2 linked regions of the Arabidopsis thaliana genome follow. The protein of the gene in region 2 interacts with the protein of the main gene of each other region in a biochemical or structural test. Each region holds a gene or a part of one and is shown on either strand. Other genes may lie near its edges.

Evidence for each region.
Region 1: the proteins of alpha-ADR (region 2) and AT2G43160 form a complex in vitro, tested with the Arabidopsis thaliana proteins (one study listed by BioGRID).

The regions. Positions count from the first base shown.
Region 1 is NC_003071.7:17,943,459-17,950,625, forward strand, and holds the start of AT2G43160 (ENTH/VHS family protein), read left to right. Parts: upstream 1-4,341; 5' UTR 4,342-4,812; intron 4,813-4,894; exon of another isoform or gene 4,895-5,212; intron 5,213-5,339; exon of another isoform or gene 5,340-5,368; 5' UTR 5,369-5,425; coding exon 5,426-5,460; intron 5,461-5,563; coding exon 5,564-5,615; intron 5,616-5,854; coding exon 5,855-5,934; intron 5,935-6,023; coding exon 6,024-6,102; intron 6,103-6,201; coding exon 6,202-6,285; intron 6,286-6,403; coding exon 6,404-6,549; intron 6,550-6,816; coding exon 6,817-7,119; intron 7,120-7,167. Other genes in the region: AT2G43150 (Proline-rich extensin-like family protein), read left to right, coding at 2,435-3,073. UniProt on the Arabidopsis thaliana protein: May have a role in transport via clathrin-coated vesicles from the trans-Golgi network to endosomes. Stimulates clathrin assembly. Binds to membranes enriched in phosphatidylinositol 3-phosphate (PtdIns(3)P). Plays an important role in protein trafficking.
Region 2 is NC_003076.8:7,584,052-7,591,218, reverse strand, and holds the start of alpha-ADR (alpha-adaptin), read left to right. Parts: upstream 1-2,896; 5' UTR 2,897-3,192; coding exon 3,193-3,318; intron 3,319-4,060; coding exon 4,061-4,192; intron 4,193-4,543; coding exon 4,544-4,669; intron 4,670-4,882; coding exon 4,883-4,945; intron 4,946-5,027; coding exon 5,028-5,125; intron 5,126-5,205; coding exon 5,206-5,413; intron 5,414-5,611; coding exon 5,612-5,683; intron 5,684-5,763; coding exon 5,764-5,856; intron 5,857-6,244; coding exon 6,245-6,346; intron 6,347-6,445; coding exon 6,446-6,543; intron 6,544-7,089; coding exon 7,090-7,167. Other genes in the region: AT5G22780 (Adaptor protein complex AP-2, alpha subunit), read left to right, coding at 1-10, 98-223, 443-523, 610-681, 797-876, 963-1,119; AT5G22785 (uncharacterized protein), read right to left, coding at 1,375-1,503, 1,514-1,576. UniProt on the Arabidopsis thaliana protein: Subunit of the adaptor protein complex 2 (AP-2). Adaptor protein complexes function in protein transport via transport vesicles in different membrane traffic pathways.

The sequences.
Region 1 (7,167 bases), on a different chromosome or scaffold from region 2:
TATGAAACTTTTAACACAATAGATATTACTTATAAAGTTTTTGCTTATATACTATTTTACATGGACATTAATTGACTGATACATGTGACCAATCTAAGTGCAGAGGATTTAAACACTTTATCATTAGAAAATGATAATATTATTTTGGTTTAGGTTAAATTAGGGGAATCCTTGGTGTATCACAATTTATTTGTTGGAAAAGTGTTTATTCGCACATGTGCTTTCTTGCTAATTCTTTTCAAGTTCTAGCCACCCTTTAACTTTAATAATTGATATTGCTAAATTCTAAAAATATCATAACAATGCAGACACTTTAAAAATTAAAGGAAACTAATTTGTGAAATTTCTTTTTCTTTTCACGTGTTTACAAAAATCTCATCCCAAATATTGATCAAATATGCAACTTGTATAAAACAAGAATTATTTGAACTAACTATATGAGCTCAAACTAATTGACCAGTCTATATATGACCTCTTTTCTTGTTTTAAAAATTCCAGCATGTATATGATTTTTGTAAGGAGAAGTATATGATTATTGATGGGCACTCAAAATCTGAGGAAGTTTGAGATACACAAGTGGTGGGAGCGAAAATAAACTGAAGTACAATTTTTCTGCACCTTCTTTGGGAAACATAGATAATTATACTTGTTTTTTATTTTGAAATAGTTATACTTTTTGACGACATAAATTATTCTTTGCATGATTTAAAATTTCAACCTACATTTATGCTTGCAATTTCGTAATTACTTCCGCCTTTATTGCTCATCTTTAATTCTGCCTTTTCTTGTCCTTATAGACATAAACATTTGTGTGTTTGTGTGTGACAGCAGTATTTCCCTATCTGAAAAACAAGAATATTTTGATTTATTAGTAGTTTGAATTATGAATTGCAATTAAGTTATGATTAGGTAGTGATAATTATTTCTCATGGGGTAGTCCTTTTCTTCAAATCTCTTGTGGCGATGGTTCGTGTATTAAATCGTCATGTGCCATAATACCATTAACCTAGCTGTAATAATTTAATGTACCGTTAAAAAGGTTACAGTTGCTCTGTCTATATGTTATTACTCTTAGCCCCGTATTAGCTCTCAAAGCGTACGACCACGCAAAAGCCTGCAATGCCACTAATTAAGTTTCATTCCACATGCCATATATCTTCTTTTGTCACGATTATATTTCCCATAATTGAGATTTCACATGCACTCTATAGTTTTATGTCGTCATGATATACATACATTGGGAAATTATACGACCAATACGAGTAAACGAAATAAAAAATGAATGGTCAATTATATGACACAATTCAAATTCTAAACGGAACTAAATTTTAGCCTCTATGGTTATGTATACTATTATTACAGTCGATAAGTGTGAAGCGAGTCGACGCGGTATATCATACACCGATCGAGCCACAACACGCGACCTCTCATTATATTAAAATCACATTTTTATGCCACAAATCAAAGTCGTTGTTGTTAATTTGGTTTAATTGAACTTTGTATTATAACTCGGTTTAGTCTTCAAATACAGCTGTCTTCCTATTGATCGCTTTGTTATCTTATGTCAGCCATTTTAAGACATTTGACTTTACTCTCATAATCATCCTTTTCTGTACATTTATTTGATTCTTACGGTTCTAATTACCTTTCTATATATATGATATGTTTTTGTCAAAAGCATCAAGTGTTTTTGTAGTTTATATTTGTAGTTTCTAAGTTTATGACTTTGGAAAAATTAGGAACGTTCTGGCACCACATTGTAATATGCATGATCGGAAATTTTGTGGTCCTCTTGCCATAATTTTCGCGCACCAACAAGTGTTTTTATAGATTTCGTGTAATCGTTTATTTTTGAAATATTTTATAGCTTTCTGTTGACTGTATATTTGTGATTTATACGCAATTCTTTAACATATACAGAAACAGAATGTCGGTAAATAAAAAAGAAATTATATAATCGAAAATGATTGTGGTAGATGTCATCGTGATTAACATAGCTTAACTAGCATCGAATAGCAGCATGTAATTTAAAAATGTTTCATTGAAATATATGTGTGATTTTCAATCAGAATTAGTTTGGCTTTATTTCAATCTGGTGGTTGGAGATTAGTTTTCTCACACAGTGGAAATTTCCTGATCTATTATCTTGTTTATTATAAAACTAAGAAAACCAATAATTGCCAGCTAATAGCAAAATTAAAAAAAAACTATAGGAAAAAAATAACGAAGATATAGAATTAGTCCCTAAAGAACAAAGCCCACCTCCAACGACTACTTTTTTCACTATAAAAACAACTCTTTTCCATGCAGAAACACAATCAATCACTTCTTCTTCATCTTTCCTCAAAAATAAAAACATTTTCTCCAATTTGTTCTTCTTTAATAATTTGGAGAAAAAAAGTCTTAGCTAAGACTGAACATTATCCGGTGAAGAATGGCGACTCCGGCATGGAGTCATGCCAAGGCTCAATGGGTAGTCGCCATGTTGGCGTTACTCGTTGGCTCGGCTATGGCTACCGAACCTTATTACTATAGCTCTCCTCCACCACCGTATGAGTATAAATCTCCACCTCCTCCGGTTAAATCTCCTCCACCGCCTTATGAATATAAATCACCACCACCTCCGGTTAAGTCTCCTCCACCACCGTATTACTATCATTCACCGCCGCCGCCAGTGAAATCCCCTCCCCCTCCTTATGTTTACAGCTCTCCTCCTCCTCCGGTGAAGTCCCCTCCTCCCCCATACTACTACCATTCACCGCCTCCTCCGGTGAAGTCTCCTCCTCCTCCATACTACTACCATTCACCACCTCCTCCGGTGAAATCCCCACCACCACCATATTACTACCATTCACCACCTCCTCCGGTGAAATCCCCACCACCACCATACTACTACCATTCACCTCCTCCTCCTGTGAAATCTCCTCCTCCTCCATATTATTACCACTCCCCACCTCCTCCGGTGAAATCCCCACCACCACCATACCTTTACAGCTCTCCACCACCACCGGTAAAATCTCCCCCACCTCCTGTCTACATCTACGCTTCTCCCCCACCTCCCACACATTACTAGGCTCATCAAATTCAACAAAATTTCCCCATTATTCAAGTAAGTCCTATACTTATACCTTTACCTCATAATCCGTTTTAATAATTGTGCCCTAAATAAAATCGGAATTTCTTCTTTCACAGGTTTTCTTTTAAAAAATGAAATAAAGGAAGGGTCAAAGTCAAAGAGAAGAAGAAGTGAACCAAATAAGGATCGTGGCGTGGAAATCAGAAACAAAACATCTCTAACAACGATCCACATCACTTCCTCTTCTTCAATGTCGCTCATCTTCCACTTGTGCATCATTATCTTTGCGTCTTCGTCAAGTCAAATTGTTTCCAAGACCCTTTTAGATCGTATCATACTCCTCTTTGTTCCCTTTTGTTGTTAAGTGAAAAAATGGGTTTTGGTAATTTAATTGTTGTGCATACATTTTCTATTTTGTTATTCTTCCGTTAATGTAATGAAAGAGTTGTTAGCATATAAAACAAAGTTCAGTTTCTTCTTTCTTTGGATTATGCGATATACAGTCATAACATTTTCTATCTTAAAACATAGTTCCAACGACAAAAGTAGTTCCAATGACAAAGTTAAAAGACATATTCTTTTAGGTTGGGCACGACATTGTTTCGATCTGTTCGTCCAGAGAAAGTTATCATTGCTTCAAAAGGTGGGAAAGTGGAAGTAACACATCACTTTGATCTCATTGGATCATTAATAATTGTGTTTATGTAATACGTCAGAGACTCACTTTCATTCAACTAATTTCCACCTACTCTTTTTGTTTCAACCTTAAAAAAAAAAAATATTGAGCAATACTATATGCTTAATACAAAACCATTGACTAAAATTAAAGAATGTTGAAATGAATTAATATCAAAGTTATAGTTTATATTCTTCTATTTAATCGAAACATGGAACCAAACAAAAGCAAATGAAAAGCAGCAAGTGCTGAAGAATTGGTTCGAAATAAGTGGAGTGGTTGTACTTTGGGCTTTGGGATAGCATTAGCTGATTTTGAGGCCCATTGGCTAAACGTATTTGGTAATTTGCCTCCAATTTTTTTGTCACCGTCATTTTGTTTGTTGTTTGGCAACGACACCTTCCAAACTTTATCGTTATGCTTAAGTTGATTTTGATAAATTAATTTGATAATGATGAAGTGAAATTCAATGAAGCTAATAAACACAATTTTGATAAATTAATTTGATTTCAACAGTACTGAAATATATAGTATTAGGTCTAGTAGCTTCCAACTCCACTAGACATAAAGCAATTTTGTCCCAACAAAAGTTTTGGAATAAAGCATATTGTATCTTCTCATTTCCAAACTGTATATGAGAATAGAAACTTTATAAAACTGGTTAGACCAAAGTAATAATTATGTTGTTCTCAATTAAACAGCTGTGATTTTTCAAATCCAAACATTATATTGATTTGGAGCGCCTTAATAATATTCTCCGTGTTTAGTTGCGCTGTCTTATTTGTATTATTCTTTTTTTTTTTCACTATTTCATTTTTATTTATTTATTTTATCTGTTGAATTTTCTCTTCTGGCTGCTGTTTTCCTCTCTCTCTCTCTCTAAACTCGAGAATTTTTGTAGAGAGAGGAGGCAAAGTGCGAAAGCTAAACGCAGATCCACGATCAATCTCCTCCACCTTCAAAAGCCTTCAAAAGTGTTTCTTCTTCGTCTTCTTCCTTTTATTATCTGTGCCTTGACAGATCCACGATCCGATTCTGGTCAAATTTTACATTTCTGCAGGTACGATCTTAGCTCTTTTTGTTCTTTCATGTTCATTATTCTTTTTCTGGATCTATTGTTTCCATTTTTAAATTTCCGGTTGATTTTTTTATCTTGTTCGATGTGATTCTATTTTGTGGAGGGATGTTATTAGCTTTAAGATCTGTGTGAGCTGCGTTTTTGAATGTGAATCTTCCTTTTTATTCGATTTTGATTGTTACCGTTTGAATTTTTAGTCTGCTTAGGAGTCGGATTTTGTTGATTTTGACTTCTTCTTTATATCCTTTAATTGTTGCAAAATTCGGAAATTTTGTTACGAGCTGGGGATTTTTTCCACTTCCTTGAGATTGTTTTAGGGTGAATCTGAACAAAGACAAATTCGATCATTGCTGATTGCTTTGTTGCCGTTCCTCAATTCCATGTATCTGGCTCTTACGATTGTGTAATTGAAATGAGATTATGATGAAGAATGATTCGTTTGTTTCTTTTTGTTCTATCTATACATTTGTGGTGATATATATATATATCTTTGTTTGAAACGTTAATAGATAAGCTGCTCATACTAGTTATACAACAGACTCCATAGAAGGTGACATTTGTTTAAGATACTCTTGTTCCTGGAACACATACGAAGATGAAGAAAGTCTTCGGACAAACTGTTAGAGACCTGTAAGTATTTTCGTACCCGAAATTTAATGATATTCTCAATCTGTGTGTGGTTTATTTCTTTTTTCATTGACGGGATGCTTCATTTTATGTTCCATTTATTCAGTAAGAGAGAGGTCAACAAGAAAGTGCTCAAAGTTCCTGGAGTAGAACAGAAGGTAATGGATGCTCTTAGCTTCTTCTCTCTTTTTCTTCTTATCAGAAATTCTTCCGCAGCAGAGATTTAGATACTGTTTTCCATTTTTATGCTTGAGTTTATCAATTTCTTTATTTGTTTCTAAAAGGCTTTTATAAATAGAGAGCTTATCTTGGTTGCATTCATCGTCTTGCTAAACAATGTAAAGCGAGATATCCAACTTTCTCTTATCTTGTTTTGTCTGTGCTTTCTCTTATTCAGGTTCTAGATGCTACTAGTAATGAGCCATGGGGTCCACATGGATCACTTCTTGCTGATCTTGCGCAAGCTTCCAGAAATTAGTAACTACGACCACCTTCCAACTTGCTATATTTTGCTGCGATTTTGGACATTGCACAGGAATTATAAAAACATGTTACTTCTATTTCAGTCATGAATATCAGCTGATCATGGTGGTCATATGGAAACGCCTTAGCGACACCGGAAAAAACTGGCGGCATGTCTATAAGGTAAACAATATTATTGTCTTGCTGGCTTAATTTGTGTTGAATTTCTGTAGCAGTGACTAAAGTATTTCATGCTGTTTACCTCTTCTCTCTCCCCTTCAGGCTTTGACAGTTTTGGAGTACATGGTAGGCCATGGATCAGAACGTGTTATAGACGAGATTAGAGAACGTGCATATCAAATTTCGGTAATGACTACCTTGAGTACATTATTTTGGAAGTATTCAACATCAAGAGAATCCTTTAGTGCTATATCTCAGTAGTTGACTATCTTACTTGTATATATGTCTATTTTCCTTGTGGCAGACATTGTCCGATTTTCAGTATATTGATTCCGGTGGTAGAGATCAAGGAAGCAATGTTAGGAAGAAATCACAGAGCCTGGTGGCTTTGGTGAATGACAAGGAAAGAATAGCTGAAGTCAGACAGAAGGCTGCTGCTAATAGAGATAAGTAAGTTTGCTTGTCATTGTATCTTTCTGGAACTGGTGGATAGTTTTCTCTCTGTGTGAGTCTCGGTGGACACTCGTTTGATTTCTTGTTGCTAGTGGCTTACAATTGTTATTATGCTTCTCGGTAGTCTATTAATTGGTAGTACTGGCACTTTAACTGTATTAGCTTCTGAATTTTGAAAGTTTTTATCTCGAGAAAAAAAAATGACATGTCTTTTGGTTCATTCAAAATATGCTGAACATATCAACCTACATTATTTTACAACAGGTATCGCAGCTCAGCACCAGGTGGGATGTATAAGCCTTCAGGCGGATATGGGGATAAATATGATTACGGAAGCCGGGATGAAGAGCGAAGTAGTTATGGAAGAGAAAGAGAATATGGTTACAGAGATGATGATAGAAATAGTCGTGATGGAGATCGTCATTCCAGGGACTCTGAAGACCGGTATGGGAGAGATGGTAATAGGGATGATGATTACAGGGGAAGGAGCAGAAGTGTTGATAACTATGGGTCACGAGGTAGGAGTTCGGAAAGAGAGCGGGAGGATGATGGCCATTCTTCATCACGGTATGTTAAATTTCAAGTCGCCTAAATCCTGAAATAAAAAAGGAAGGG
Region 2 (7,167 bases):
TACAAACGTGGTACGTACTGCAACAGTACTTAGCTTGTTTTGGTGAATGGTATATTTAGTATCTGTGACTCTACCTGATATGCTGGATCTTTTATAGGTCAGTGCCAAATTACGCATCCCGGCAACCTTGAATAAGTTTCTTCAACCTCTACAATTGACATCTGAAGAGTTCTTCCCTCAATGGAGAGCAATCTCAGGGCCACCCTTGAAACTTCAGGAAGTGGTATGTATCTCCACAGCTTCTCTGATCAAATATCAAACTAAAAGTATTTGAGTAGCGCAGGATAGTAGTCAAAGGCTTCTAAGAATTTTCTTTTCAATGAAATTAGTGAATTAGCTTTCGCTACAACACTTATAGAGAACTTCCAACACTTCTACACATGCTCGTTAATGCAGCATTACTTTTATGCGTTATATAATCTGATACTGCAATCTCTTTCAGGTAAGAGGTGTAAGACCTCTAGCTCTTCCGGAAATGGCAAATCTGTTCAACAGTTTTCATGTGACGATATGCCCTGGGCTTGTAAGTAGTTGTTTACGATCTCAAACCTTCATTCCTCATGCACACATGTATACTTCAAACTTAACTTGTATTGTTTTTTGTCGTAGGATCCAAACCCTAATAATCTAGTGGCAAGCACAACCTTCTACTCTGAAACTACAGGAGCCATGCTCTGTTTGGTGAGATTTCACCAAGTTTCACTTCCTGGTTTTGGCACTTGCCACTCCAATTTCTAAAATTTCTTAAGACTTATAGTAATGACGTGTGACATTTTCCTTGGTTTGCGATTTTCAGGCAAGAATTGAAACAGACCCAGCGGACAGAACCCAACTACGATTGACAGTAGGCTCGGGAGATCCTACCCTTACATTTGAGTATGATATATCTGCCTCTTAATCACAAACCCAACCTCGATCACAGATTTTCTTCATTTGCAATTGTTGACCCCTTTTATCTACAGGTTAAAAGAATTCATCAAGGAACAATTAATTACTATTCCAATGGGATCTCGAGCTCTAGTTCCAGCAGCAGGTCCAGCACCATCACCAGCAGTTCAACCGCCTAGCCCAGCGGCTTTAGCTGATGATCCAGGAGCTATGCTTGCTGGCTTACTTTAAATTCATTGGGATAAAAGATTACTTGCACATGTCGAAAAGTTTGTTTTCTGTTATTGTAGAATGTAATGGCGAAAATATGGAATGATGGGAGAGTAAATGTAGAGCCAAGGGAGAGAAAAAAGCTAGTTTTGATTATATTTGTGCCGTTTATCCAAAGCGGGCGGGTTGCGTTAGGTAAGAAATTTTGCATTCATTCTGAACATTTGTATTGTGAGGTCAGTGGTTGTATCAGCTTGTTCTTGTGCCTATATATTTTCAATCTGTTTCTCCATGAGTTTTCTGATGGGAGGTCTGTTTTTTCGCACCAGCCTTCACATTGAGAGATTTTAATGTTGTCATAAAGGGGGGAAATTGCAAAAACACATCCAACGCATAGCATTTCACCTGTAAAAACCTGATCTAATTTGAGGTGTGAATAGAGTGGGGACTTGGCCTTGGTGGGACATTCAACCGACATATATACAACCAGATTTTTACTATTACTTTGAAGAATATAATTGAAAGAAAATTTTTTTTTTACTATTTTTAATTTTCTTACAAACTGCTTATGGATTTAAAAGCTGTTTTATCAATTTTTGCATGATTTTTTTTTGTTTTTACTACATAATTTGTAATTGACAAAAGTATGATTTTTTTATATTACTATATCATTTGTAATTTTGCAAATAAAAAAAAATATAAGAACCCTAGATCCGGGGCTTGTGAAACAAGAGTGATTAAGCAAAATTTGAGTAAGTCTGACTTTTGCAAGTTTGCTTCACCAACATCAATGTCGCTCAAGTTGAAGAAGCAACTTCTCTTAAAGTATCGAATACCCTAAAATTTGTCATGCCTTGAAGAAAAACTCAACCGAGATATTGGAGCTGTTCGAAATACCTAAGAAATCAGCCGATGTTGCTAACGCAAAGGGACAATATCTTCCATAAAACTAAAAATGTTCAATAAGCAGGGCCGACCCAAATCTAAAGCCCAGCAAGCTGATGCTTTATCATCACAATCATATAAAAGCCTTGTAGTTTAATGGTTGGTGCTTCCATTAGTTATATAAGTTTACGAGTTCGATACTCAAACTGCCAAACAACAACATCCTAGGAGCATACGCTATCGCCGTCACTGCTTTTCTAGCTCAACAATTCGTCCTATTCATCGTCTTGTAGATTATGATCTTGTTATGAGACACATTTAGTATTTCAAAAACGAGAGTAGTGACAATACTTTCCTATTCACCAGAGTAATTTGGTTGCAATGATTCTAGCAAAATTGTTATCTGAAATATAGAGTATCTAAAATCTTTATTCAAAAGATTTCATAATACATTGAGTAAAATTATAAAATGCTCATAACAAAAAATAATCAAATCAGCACTGCGTATAAACCATTTGTTTCGTTCCCACTAATACCAACAAATACCATGTCTGACGAAAAAAAAAAAAAAAAAGTTGGGACCAGCTAAACCATTGCATGACCTGACCTGACCCGAATTCATAACCGGATTTTCTCATGGTACATTTTTTTTGTTAAGGATTTTCTCATGGTACATTGAATTACAACTGAATGCATTGACCGCGACAGAAAACAGTCATTTTAAAAATAAATGAAAAAGTGAAACCAGAAACAGCAGTAAATAAATATTACCCAAAAAGGCAGAAGGATACACTTTTTAACAAAATATTACGCAAACTTATAAATCCTCAAATTTAGTCCAAATGTCTAGACGCGTTAATTCTGTTTTTCGACGGGTCAATTTCGGATTCCAATTTCAAAACAGACAAAAACTGAATTACACAAAATTGAATAGTCAAAGTTGTAAATAAAGAAAAATAAAAGTCGTCTCTCGTCTCTCTCCCGCAGGCGTGTCTCTCTTCTCCAAAGATCAGTCTCTCCTTTTGAATTTCTTCGATTGAAGGTGCCATTTTCCGTTTCTAGATTGGGATTTCGATCTCACCTCTCTCGAATTGCTTATGCTTCAGCTTTAGTCTGTGGTTTATCTCGTAGTTAGATCCGGTGCCGCGAGTTTGGATCTGCGCCGTGTGAGGCGGCGGAGCACGGTGGATTTGAGGATTTGGTTCAACCATGACCGGAATGAGAGGTCTCTCCGTATTTATCAGCGACGTTCGTAATTGCCAGAACAAGGAAGCGGAGAGACTACGAGTTGATAAGGAGCTCGGAAACATTCGTACATGCTTCAAGAATGAGAAGGTTACTCTCAATTCTCTCCATTCTATTTTCTATGTTTTGATTCTCATTAGAGAGGTAATTCAGTGTCGAGTATCCGCTGAGGTTTTGGTTTATTAGAGATATTGGAGATTTATCCTTCGCAGTTGCAATGCCAATGCAATCGAATGTTAGAGCTATTAGGTTGATTAGGGAGTTAGATAAGAATGTAGATGAAACAAAGATACAGTCACTGGTCACATGCCGAGTGGATAGTTTTGGAGCTTGTAGTTTCTTACTTTATCGGATTGAGGCAATAAATTTTGATTTAACACCAATTGTGAAAATAGATAGGCAGTATAATGTTGCCGTTGTATAGCTAGCTCAAATCCTTGTAGATTAGCAATTATTCTACCTTTTGAAACATCACTACTATTGCTTTCAACTTGGAATTTCATTACTGAATATATGATGACATTTAGGAACTAGAAGAAAAGAATGGTCTGGCAGTAAATTCGGTTATGTAGTGATGGTCTAAGAAATTAAATCATGGTCACGGAAAATTTTGAATAGCTCATTACGAAGTAGATTAAGCTTTGTTGCTGTAAGAACTTCTGGAGTGAAATTCTTGTTCCATCTTACACGTAGCAGAGCTGTAGCAGGCCTGTAGTGGATCCATGTGTTTCCAGTTGGACCAACATTAAACTTATTCTTTTTCGGGGTTCATGTTAGAAATGAATTAATCAAGAACTCTTTGATTACTTGACATTCTGTTTTATTTTTGCAGGTTTTGACACCATATAAAAAGAAGAAATATGTCTGGAAAATGCTTTATATACATATGCTAGGCTACGATGTGGATTTTGGCCATATGGAGGCGGTTTCTCTTATATCTGCGCCAAAGTATCCAGAAAAGCAGGTAAACCAACGTTTTGTTTGCTCAAACAAAGAAATTTTTCTTTGTAAGGCTAGGAGAAGATAATAGATGGAGGTGTTTGCTGAAATATATTCTATTGATCAAGCTGAAACAAAGAAAGTTTCATTGAAGATCACACAGTTAGATCTAGATACCATTTCATGCGTTTGCAACTTGACTTGACCTGGGAAAGTATTGCAGACAATTACTTATAAGCACGAGTTACTTAGTAACATCTTAGAAACTCTTAACCAGAACCATGCATTGTATCTCAAGGGTTTGTATTTCCAATTTATATTGTTTCATGCTCCTTAACTAATTTGCAGGTATTGAACTTTTCATCCATGATTACAGGTTGGCTACATTGTTACATCTTGCTTGCTCAATGAGAACCATGACTTTTTGAAGTTGGCAATAAATACAGTGCGGAACGATATTATTGGTCGGAATGAGACTTTCCAGTGCCTAGCACTGACCTTGGTATGTGGTCTTTTGTCCACCCTGTATTGAGATTTTAGAGCATAGTTAGGTTCTTCTGATTATAAGATGTTGTTAAATGACTGTTTTAATGGAAGTCTTTGGTACATTATGTCTTTTGTGCTCTATCATTTCACGATTCAGAGCCACTTACTTCATGAAACTGGTCCTTTCTTTCTAGCTTTCTTACCTTGCCATGCTTACGTTCTCCTGTAGGTTGGAAATATCGGTGGAAGGGATTTTGCTGAATCATTGGCACCTGATGTTCAAAAGCTACTTGTAAGTGACTCCTAAAGATGAGAGGTTATATTTTTTTCCAATATTACTAAACATATTATGTTATGGGGTCTCTTTGCTGCAGATTTCTAGTAGTTGCAGACCTCTTGTAAGGAAAAAAGCAGCACTGTGCCTACTGCGCTTATTCCGAAAAAATCCTGATGCTGTCAACGTGGATGGCTGGTGTGTATAACACTGTGGGGTTACTGGTTCTTTGATTTTACTAGTGCATCTTTCATATTCTCTTTGTCGTATACTTCCAGGGCGGATCGTATGGCACAACTTTTGGATGAACGAGATCTTGGTGTCTTGACGTCTTCTACGAGTCTTCTTGTAGCTCTGGTATCTAATAATCATGAGGCGTACTCAAGTTGTCTACCTAAATGTGTCAAAATATTAGAACGCCTTGCTAGGAACCAAGATGTTCCTCAGGAGTACACATACTATGGCATCCCATCTCCTTGGCTCCAGGTTTGACTTAACTCGGCTTATTCACTCTTGTTTAATAGCTTAAATATTCTTTAATCGCATCCTTTTCACAAATCCTGTGCATTTTAAACATTTTATGTGAAATTAGCTTATGAAAATAGAGGCTTGGCCCAGCTTTGGTGTATTTTTGTTACTCAGTTAAAGATATCGTGGATACTTATATATCTTTGGTTAGTACAGGTTAAGGCAATGAGGGCTCTTCAATATTTCCCGACCATTGAAGATCCCAGTACCAGAAAAGCTCTGTTTGAGGTTCAATATTTTCATGTGTAAATCTGTAATATATGTCTTTGAATTTCCTCTCATGGCATGGCATTTCATGGAAATTTCAGGTCCTTCAGCGAATATTGATGGGGACAGATGTTGTGAAAAATGTGAATAAAAACAATGCGTCTCATGCTGTGCTGTTTGAAGCTCTATCCCTGGTAAGTTCGTCGGATAGCTGGGGAAATGTTGATACCATGAATTTTACTAGTGGGCACCTATTTTTCTCTCTCTTCCCCTTCACCCCTGCTCAACGTCCTGTAAAGACGCATTTACTCAAAGCAGACTACTGATGTGTGCATGGACGTTTAAAATATATTTTTTGGCTTTGCTAGAGAAACTTCAAGTGTTTGAATTGCTTGCAGCTAATTGTACGATATTCTTTGTCTGTTGTTTTTCTTGTGTGAAAGTAAAATAAATTTAGATGCTCTGCTTGAAGGTTTCGCCACTATTTCTAAGAGGTTTATCATGGATAGTTGACTTAATTGTTCCTAACAGTTCTCTGGCTTAGTGTGCAACCTCCTAACTTTTTAATGTGTTTTGATATAGGTCATGCATCTTGATGCTGAGAAGGAAATGATGTCACAGTGTGTTGCTCTTCTTGGCAAGTTTATTTCTGTCCGTGAGCCCAACATCAGATATCTAGGCTTGGTGAGATCTTGCATACCACTTCCTGCATCTAAGCCTAGCTGGAGTAGTTTGTGAAGTGGTTGGTGGTTTCTCATGATGCATTTTTTGACAAAATTACAGGAAAATATGACGCGGATGCTGATGGTCACAGATGTTCAAGATATCATAAAGAAGCATCAGTCTCAGATAATCACCTCCTTGAAAGACCCTGACATCAGGTTGGTTTAGATTTGCCATCTAAGCATCAGCTTTTCTGGCTTGTGAACCCGGATCAGTATCTCGTTACTGTTCTAATTTGGAACCAGTACGACAGTTTTTCAATCATCAAATCGGTCTTACTTCTTATGATTTAATATACCGTTTTTTACTTTGTCTCTATAGTAGTTGTGAATAAGATTATTTCTGTCAGCATTAAAATTATTTGATTTGGGTAGTATATATGAAATTTTAAGAAAATGGGATCTATATTTTTTAGTGAAACATTATTTGTTGATTTGTTTTCTTGTGATAAGCTATAGGTATAATTATATGTGGTATACGGTCACATAAGAAATATTATATTATTATATTATTGGCCGGTGGGTCAGCACTATTTCGATGACGTTTGTTAGTAAAAGATGGATAAGTACCACAGTCCATTATGTCTTGATCTTATTTCCATTGCAAATGGTGGCTTCCGTTTTACAAACATATAGTTTGATTTATCATCTCTTGGTTCTTTTGCTTATGGTGTCAGATTCACTATTGGTTGAACTTTCCTGCAGTATTCGTAGGCGTGCTCTTGATTTATTATATGGGATGTGTGATGTGTCAAATGCAAAGGATATAGTCGAAGAGTTGCT